Linked DNA regions of Canis lupus familiaris. Each later gene encodes a partner of the first gene's protein in a complex. Links are inferred from orthologs where the notes say so. Each region holds a gene or a part of one and is shown on either strand. Other genes may lie near its edges.

Region 1 (3,272 bases):
TCTAAAATTACTTGGCTAGGCAATTAAAATTATTGACTGCTATCTAAAACTCACATAAAATAAAACACAAAACAGATTTTCCCATCAATTTTGGAAATGCTGGTTCAGATACAAATGCTTAAATTTCCCAGAATTTGAGGGCTGACCTCACATGTTCAGCATTGTGAAAACTGTTTATCAATTGAGAGATGTCAATAGCTCCTCCCATTTCCAGGATCCCCTGAAGGAGGGCCATAATCATATGTACCCTCCACATGTCCAAGGTGAGTGACTGGGCTTAATGTTCTGTTCAATGAACAGAACTATCTGTGGCTTATGGTGAAAGTAAAATGGCTTATAAAATACGGTAAAACTCTAAGTGATACACAATTGAAGTAAGATTAGCAAGATTAAAGCACCAATTTTCTTTCCTATCATTTTCTACCCAGCTTAAAGCAGAGTTTTGTATATGTGAGGATCAGACTGAGCTATATAGTATAAATAGATACACATACACGCACACATAGACACACAGATTCAAAGGAATGATGGTGTGACTCAATAAGCCATCTGGCTTGTCAATTTCTGTAGCAGGAGGAGAAAGAAAACTTTTCCATAATGCTCATACAATAATTAAATCGATATCCGGACAACCTACTTCTTGTAGCTACAGAAATGCACAGTACAGAGTCATGCTGTTGGGCACTAATGCTGCGGTACAGCACCATTTAGCCACAAGGACCTGGGAGCCATGCTCTCTCCAAAAGACTAGAGGGGCAGCTCAGCAAACAGCCAGCTGTGTGACTGCTACATGAACCTGAACATTTTTCACAAACTGTACACACGTACGACAAAACAAACACACAAATTACTCTTTTATTTGTAATCAAAATGTGAATCATCGCTGTAGTGAATAAAAATTCATGAGTCAGAATAACATGCAATTTTTTTATTGTTTTCTAAATCTATTTGTACACTTAATACTCTAGTATTAACTTCACAAACAGTGTAAAGAATGTACTACAATAATAGGCTGCATCTACTCACCGGAAAGAGAACAAAATATTGCCTCTGAAATAATTACTAATTATACAATATTGCAAATGAAAGCACTATAAATACTAAAATGTTAACAGTTCAATATATGTCAATAACATCCTGCCTTTTTTAAATTGGTTAAAAACATTTGTTAAAGTCATGCGAAATAAAACTTTAAGGAAATGTTAGATTATACTCAAACATCAAAGCAATGAAACCCAAAACAGCAACTATTTAGTGCACTGACTGGTCAACTAAATAATTTATTCATCATATTAATAAAAATCTATTAAGTGAAAACCATCACAAATGTAACACTAAATTTGGGTAATTGCACATTCTATGATCTCATCATCTATGATCTTATCTGTGACTGAGGATACACTGCCAAAATTAATTCTACATAAATAACCTATACTAAAACAACAAAAAAATTCAATGCATGATTACAGGGTCCACTTCTAGTCCATATGATACTTAAATGTGCTCATTCTCTTAACCCTGCTAACAATAAATGGAAAATCTCATCAGTTCTATCTGCTTTCTTACTCTTGCTTTGTTACATTTTTAAACTTTTTAGAGAAGTATACCCTTTCTTATGGTCCTCCCCCAGGGTCAGCATGCTAATTTTGGAATAGTTGAAGTAGACAGATATACTCTACCCTGGTATAGAGGGCAATAATTTAATTTTACCTAATTTAATATTTCCTTGTCATTTGTCAAGTGACACTGATCTTTCTGATATAATTATTTCCTCATTCTTTTGTCCATGAATATTTATTATATCCTATTATTATCCATGTCTTTCTAATTCTCCAGAGAAAGAATTCATGTTTTTCCTCATTGGTAGGCTAAGAAACTTGGGCACACCATTTAAAAGAGTCACAGAAGAGACCAGGTTCTCAAGCTGGTACGTGTAGCCAGGTCTAGGATTTGGAGGAGAGCATCCAGGTCCTAAAGAGGTTCTTGGTCCCTCCCCACAACCATTCTCCTAGCAGCTCATAAAGGTCTCATCACTGGGGCTTCATTTTGAGTACTATTCATTCATCTTCTTAACAATTTTTAAAGCCCTTGTTAAACAATTTGTCTATTATATACAACATTGGTTCTCAATTTATAGAGCATTTAGTCTCTGGACTACTCCATAACCTATAAACTTTGATCTGTTACCCTCTAAGAGCAAAATTTGATTCTAGTTCACCTAACACCATGTCTTCCTTTGAATATTTGACAAGTGAATGTTGTACAAAGAGAGAGTCTCTACCTTTCTATTTTCACACCCTTTCCATCTAAGAAAATATTTCTGACTTATCTTTATACTCAGATCTTGTCTCAAAAAATTTTGCGGGGGTCATATGCCAATTAAAGGTACAATAACAATAGTGAGTTTTTACCTAATTAAAAAGACAGTGGAAGCTGATTAATAAACCACCCTTTCTTATACTTTCCTTTGTTGTATAGTGTGTTTCTTTTACCAAAGACCTTTCCATTCATTATTTGTGAATGAAACATACAAAGATGACGCACATGGATGGACTCATTATAAACTCAGGTCAATTTTGTCATAGGGGTATAGTAATACTATTCTGCTTTTGCTTGTTTCTCTCAAAGAATGCTTTCTCTTTCCTCTCCAAAGCCTGTACTATCAGAAGAGGCCACTGCATGGAGCTCTGAAGAATCCTTGGAAAGCCTTGTGTAACTTGAACGTTGGCTTCGCTTATGCGTCATGCTTTTTAGGTTTTCATTCTGAATAGCAGTTGGGTTGGAACTGGAACCAGGCCTCAGAATGACTTGGGAAGTCTCCCTCATTCCTTCCATGTCATCAAAATTCTGATTGGATCTGTTAGCTGGCGCACTGTTGTTGTTCAGGGTCACAGTACTGGGTGTTCGATTCAGGTTGTAGGCTTTTTGACACGCTGGCCAATTTTCTTCAGGACTGCTGGCTATCAAGCTACATTCAGAAGGGCTTTTCTTGTCTTCGGAACAAATGGACATCCGAGCTATAATTGGATCTTGTAGGCCACTCAAGCTATGTGGTATTCCCCTTTTTCCACTGTGGCTATCATCTTCAAGCTCAATGAGATTTGCCTTTTCAAGCTGGGAATCATCAGCCCCCTCATTGTGAAGAGAGTGATTGGGAGAACTTTCGCTGGATCTCACTCCTGAATCAGATGAGTCCTTTTTGTCAAGGAGGGCATCTGACAAATATTCTTTTGCTTTAATGAAGGTTCTAATCGGCTCAGCGCTGTGTTCTG
Region 2 (3,948 bases), on another chromosome or scaffold:
TTTCTTTTTTTTTTAAGAGGTGGTGAAACTATTCTTTTCCTGTAAATTGATAGTCAGCTATTTTGATTTTACAAAAGATTAGTTCTCTAAAATCAGCAAGAATATCTTACCAGAAAGCTTTAACTTGAGAAGCTGACTTGGATAATAATAAATTTATTTATAATAAATTCCATTTCTTCTTCTACTTTACCTATTTCTTAATGATCTCAAAATCCTGCAGTCTCAGCATTAGGATATAGAATTTCTTGGAAAAATAGTAGCTGCATTTTTTTTGTGATAGTGTAAGATAGCATGGGGAGGGGACTTCTGCTTACTCCTAAATTAAACCAGCTCTATTTTCAAAATTAATCAAGAATGCTCTTCTGTAATTATTTCTTGGGTTATGAATTACAACTAATAATAAAGTGAAGATTAGTGATTCAATTGACTAGTCTCTTTACATACTTTTAGAATTCTTATAATTACTATCTTACCTTTTTTTCTACCTTAGGAAGTATACTACCATGAAAACTGTAGTTTTAATTTCTTTTTTCCTTTTGTATGGCCCTTAAGTTTAGCAGAATGTTTTTGTTCTTAGCAATACATTTTCTGTATCTAGCATTGCTTAAATTTTTATCTGAAGACATGTAATACGGCTTTCCTATTAAAAAGCAGTAAGCACACAGCAAGTAAAAAGCCACTTATGTTCTAGTACAGGTTAAGTATTCATAGCAATCAGGAAAAGAAAATGGCCCAGATTTCTTTGATCTTTTTTCCCGCAAAGCTGATTATTATTTATTTGTATTTCTTATTTCCTCCAGTAGGATTTTTATCACAAATTGAGAATATCCCTCTTTTCCTCCATCATTAAGTATTAATAATTAAAAGAGCAAATCATTTCCATTAAGTATAGCACCACTAGCCTAACTTTGGGTCTAAATGTAGAACTTAGATGTGCAAGAGTATTTTGAAAAAAAAAAGTATGCAGTCACCTTTTATACATTTTGTCATCATTTAGAAAACATGCTTTTTAGAGGATTTTTTTTTAAGACACAAGAAAAATTTGAAGTTTTTTTAAAATTTAAACTAAAACTAAATCATATCCAGTTAGTACAATATTAGATTACCTTTTTATTTTGAGATTGTCATTTTATTGCTAGAATTTGTGGAGTTTTAAAACTTGCATAAAAATGTGGTATTCTTGTTACAAGGAAATAACCTTAAGATTATAAATATATAAGATTATAAATACCTATTGTCTCTTGCTTCCATTATTGTGAAATCTCTATAAAGTTGTTTTGAAACATAGTTTGAAGGACTCAGAAAACTCAGATGTTAATATGACTGTATTGCAATAACAGAATATTATCATTGTGTACATTGTGTTAAGTGAACATTTCCCCAATGCATCCTTCTCTGTTTAAATAGTAAGCTATGATTCATGCATGACCAGTTAGTCTTATTAGCAGAATGATTCCCCATTCAGTAGACATTTATCAATGCATCTGCTATGTGTTAGTAAATGAGGACTTACTGATGGAGTAGGTTGACAGTGATGATATAATAAGGAACAAGAGAATAGTAAAATGTACCATCAGAAGCAGTGCAGTGCAGAAAGAAGCATTGTGGTTTGTTATATTTGTAATAACATTTGTATACAGGAAAAATGTTGCTTATAGAGCATTTTAATATTAATTGACCAGTAGGTCTTACTGAGAAAACTTAACCTGAGACTTCTTTCTAGTGAATTAACAAAAATATTTCCACCCTAGTTATGTTTCTCTGATACAGCTTTTTAAAAAGTTTCATTATAAGTAAGGTACATTTCCTTCTTTTTTTTCTTTAATTTTTAGTGAAAAAGAACAAATCACCTGACCATAGTGGTAGGCACTGGATGACACTTATATCCATATTTAAATTCAAATTTATGTAATTTACATGCCATACACCTCCCCAAAAAAAGCTTTAAAAATTTATTATAAATTTATTTATTTTGATACTTACATGTCAAATTAGTAGTTTGTTTGCATTAATGATATAGCTTTTCTCTCTGGCTTATTGAAAGAGCAAGAGAATGATCAAGAAACTGAGCCATGGCCTCAAAATATATCAGCTCCAGAAAACACCGCAAAACCTTTACTATGCCCTGCAGATATCTGGTCTAACTTCCAAAGCCACAACCCAATTCCTTTCATAGATAGTTGATATCCAGGATGAATTCATAATATAGCCATTTATCTCCCTCAAATAATAAAGAGAAATGTTTACAGAACAAATAGAATCAGCCAAGTCTGAGGGGAAAGAACCATTAGTCTCCCATGCTGAATATGTCTGTTAAATGAATATAGCTAGGTGGCAAGAGAGCTGTAGATTTAGACTTATTTTCTTAAAACTGCTGCTCAGTGAGAATTCTTTGTTTTAGGAGTTCATTTTTGCCTGTTTAAGATAGAAAGGATCTGACAGGGTGAGGATTAAAGCTGCCTTCATTCCATCTTCACTTTCCTCAGGGCCTCTCAAGGCATTCTGCACAATTGGAGCCGGTTTCTGATGATTACATTAGTATCTAAGTTTTCCTCTCTGCAATGCCAGATTTCACTTTGCAGTGCAAAACAGTCTTCCACAGAATAGGTCAGGATGAGTTTGTTGTAGGTCTTCTGTAAAATGGGGATATGAATAGTACCAGGCTCATAAAATGGATTATGAAAAATACATTATGAGAAAAATATACAGCACAGATCAATGCTCAGTACTTTTAATATGAATTCATTTAACATCATTTTTATAACAGTGGGATATGGACTGATTTTTGTGGCATAATTTCAAGACAAATACCATTATTACCATGGCATTAGTGAAATGAAAGTGACTTTGGTTAGAGAATAGGCAGGCATGCCTCAGGTGATGTACCACCCTTCCTTTCCTATCTCTTGTAGGCAAAAGCTTTGTATTCAGTTAGTGAGATGGGAGGAGATTCCAGAAATTATCATAGCACGAGTCTCTAGCAAAATTTACCCTAGAGACTAACACTAGACATCCTCTCTGTGCTTCTACCTTCTGCCACCCTCTGCTTTCAGCTTCAACTCTTCCCACCCTCTCTGCTTTCTATTTTCTAACTATAGCTATGTCTGCCTTCTTTACCCTGCTTTAATTTCCTTTCTTGGTTATCTATTCAACTCATTCCCTTCACTACTAATTCTCAACCTAGTCACTGTTGCCAGGCTCCCGCCCTGTGTTTGTGATTGGTTTATTGGTTTTCATTTTATCAGCTAAAGTAATCATGCTGCATGATCAGACACAAATTAGAGAAATTTAATATGAATTTTCTTGTTTCTGTTTTTTTTTTTTTTTTTTTTTTCTTTTTTCTTTCTCCCAGTTTCGAGTATTTACAGCCCCCTTCCATAAGGTAGGCTTTGCTGATTTCTGGCTGGCCGATCAGCTGAACAGCCTGTCAGTGATACTGATGGACCTGGAATATATGATCTGCTTCTACAGTTTTGAGCTCAAATGGGATGAAAGTGGGGGCCTGTTGCCAAATAATTCAGAAGGTAGGGTATGAATGTGCATCCATACCCTAAACTGCCAGTGTAAACCAAGAAATACTGGGAATGAGAAATTTAAGATCATGGTGAAAACTCATCCAATGATATTACAAACTTAATTAAATGTACTTGGCACTCTTTTAGCAGTCTCTTTATCTGATATAATTTGGCTCTTAAATTATATGCTATGATTTTAGCCATACATTTGCCAAGAGATTTGCAACTTACACTTAGAAGAATTCTAAATCTAAAAAAAAAAAAAGTTCTAGTACATTGGTAGTTATATCACAAATGTTTTAGTGCCAGCAGTTTCCATCACAGTATTGCTTTATAATGAGCAAAAATACTGATTATTTAGGATTAGATCAGGTGCTTTGAGAAAGTTATTATAGATTCTTATTAGGGATTTTGTTTTCTGTTCTGGCTCTTT

The links. The genes of interacting proteins can lie anywhere in the genome.
Region 2: the proteins of KIDINS220 (region 1) and XPR1 are in contact, whole or in part, in a cryo-EM structure (PDB 9JXQ), measured with the Homo sapiens proteins. The link is inferred for Canis lupus familiaris from reciprocal best matches to the Homo sapiens genes KIDINS220 and XPR1. Residues at the interface, in NP_065789.1 of Homo sapiens: Glu36, Cys37, Gln39, Asp70, Trp72, Met102, Trp105, Trp110, Tyr113, Lys114, Val138, Ile142, Trp143, Gly146, Arg147, Ser166, Asp167, Lys168, Tyr169, Gly170, Trp176, Arg179, Lys180, Gln198, Glu199, Gly200, Ala201, Ser203, Lys234, Arg267; in NP_004727.2 of Homo sapiens: Leu95, Lys189, Lys190, Gln193, Glu197, Ala200, Asn204, Glu205, Ala636, Asp637, Asp638, Leu641, Leu642, Gln644, Met645, Met646, Asp647, Gln648, Asp649, Asp650, Val652, Arg653, Asn654, Arg655.

Annotation. Positions count from the first base shown.
Region 1 is NC_049238.1:5,992,634-5,995,905, forward strand, and holds the end of KIDINS220 (kinase D-interacting substrate of 220 kDa), read right to left. Parts: coding exon 2,623-3,272; 3' UTR 914-2,622; downstream 1-913. UniProt on the Homo sapiens protein: Promotes a prolonged MAP-kinase signaling by neurotrophins through activation of a Rap1-dependent mechanism. Provides a docking site for the CRKL-C3G complex, resulting in Rap1-dependent sustained ERK activation.
Region 2 is NC_049228.1:14,194,309-14,198,256, forward strand, and holds part of XPR1 (xenotropic and polytropic retrovirus receptor 1), read left to right. Parts: intron 1-3,352; coding exon 3,353-3,524; intron 3,525-3,948. UniProt on the Homo sapiens protein: Inorganic ion transporter that mediates phosphate ion export across plasma membrane.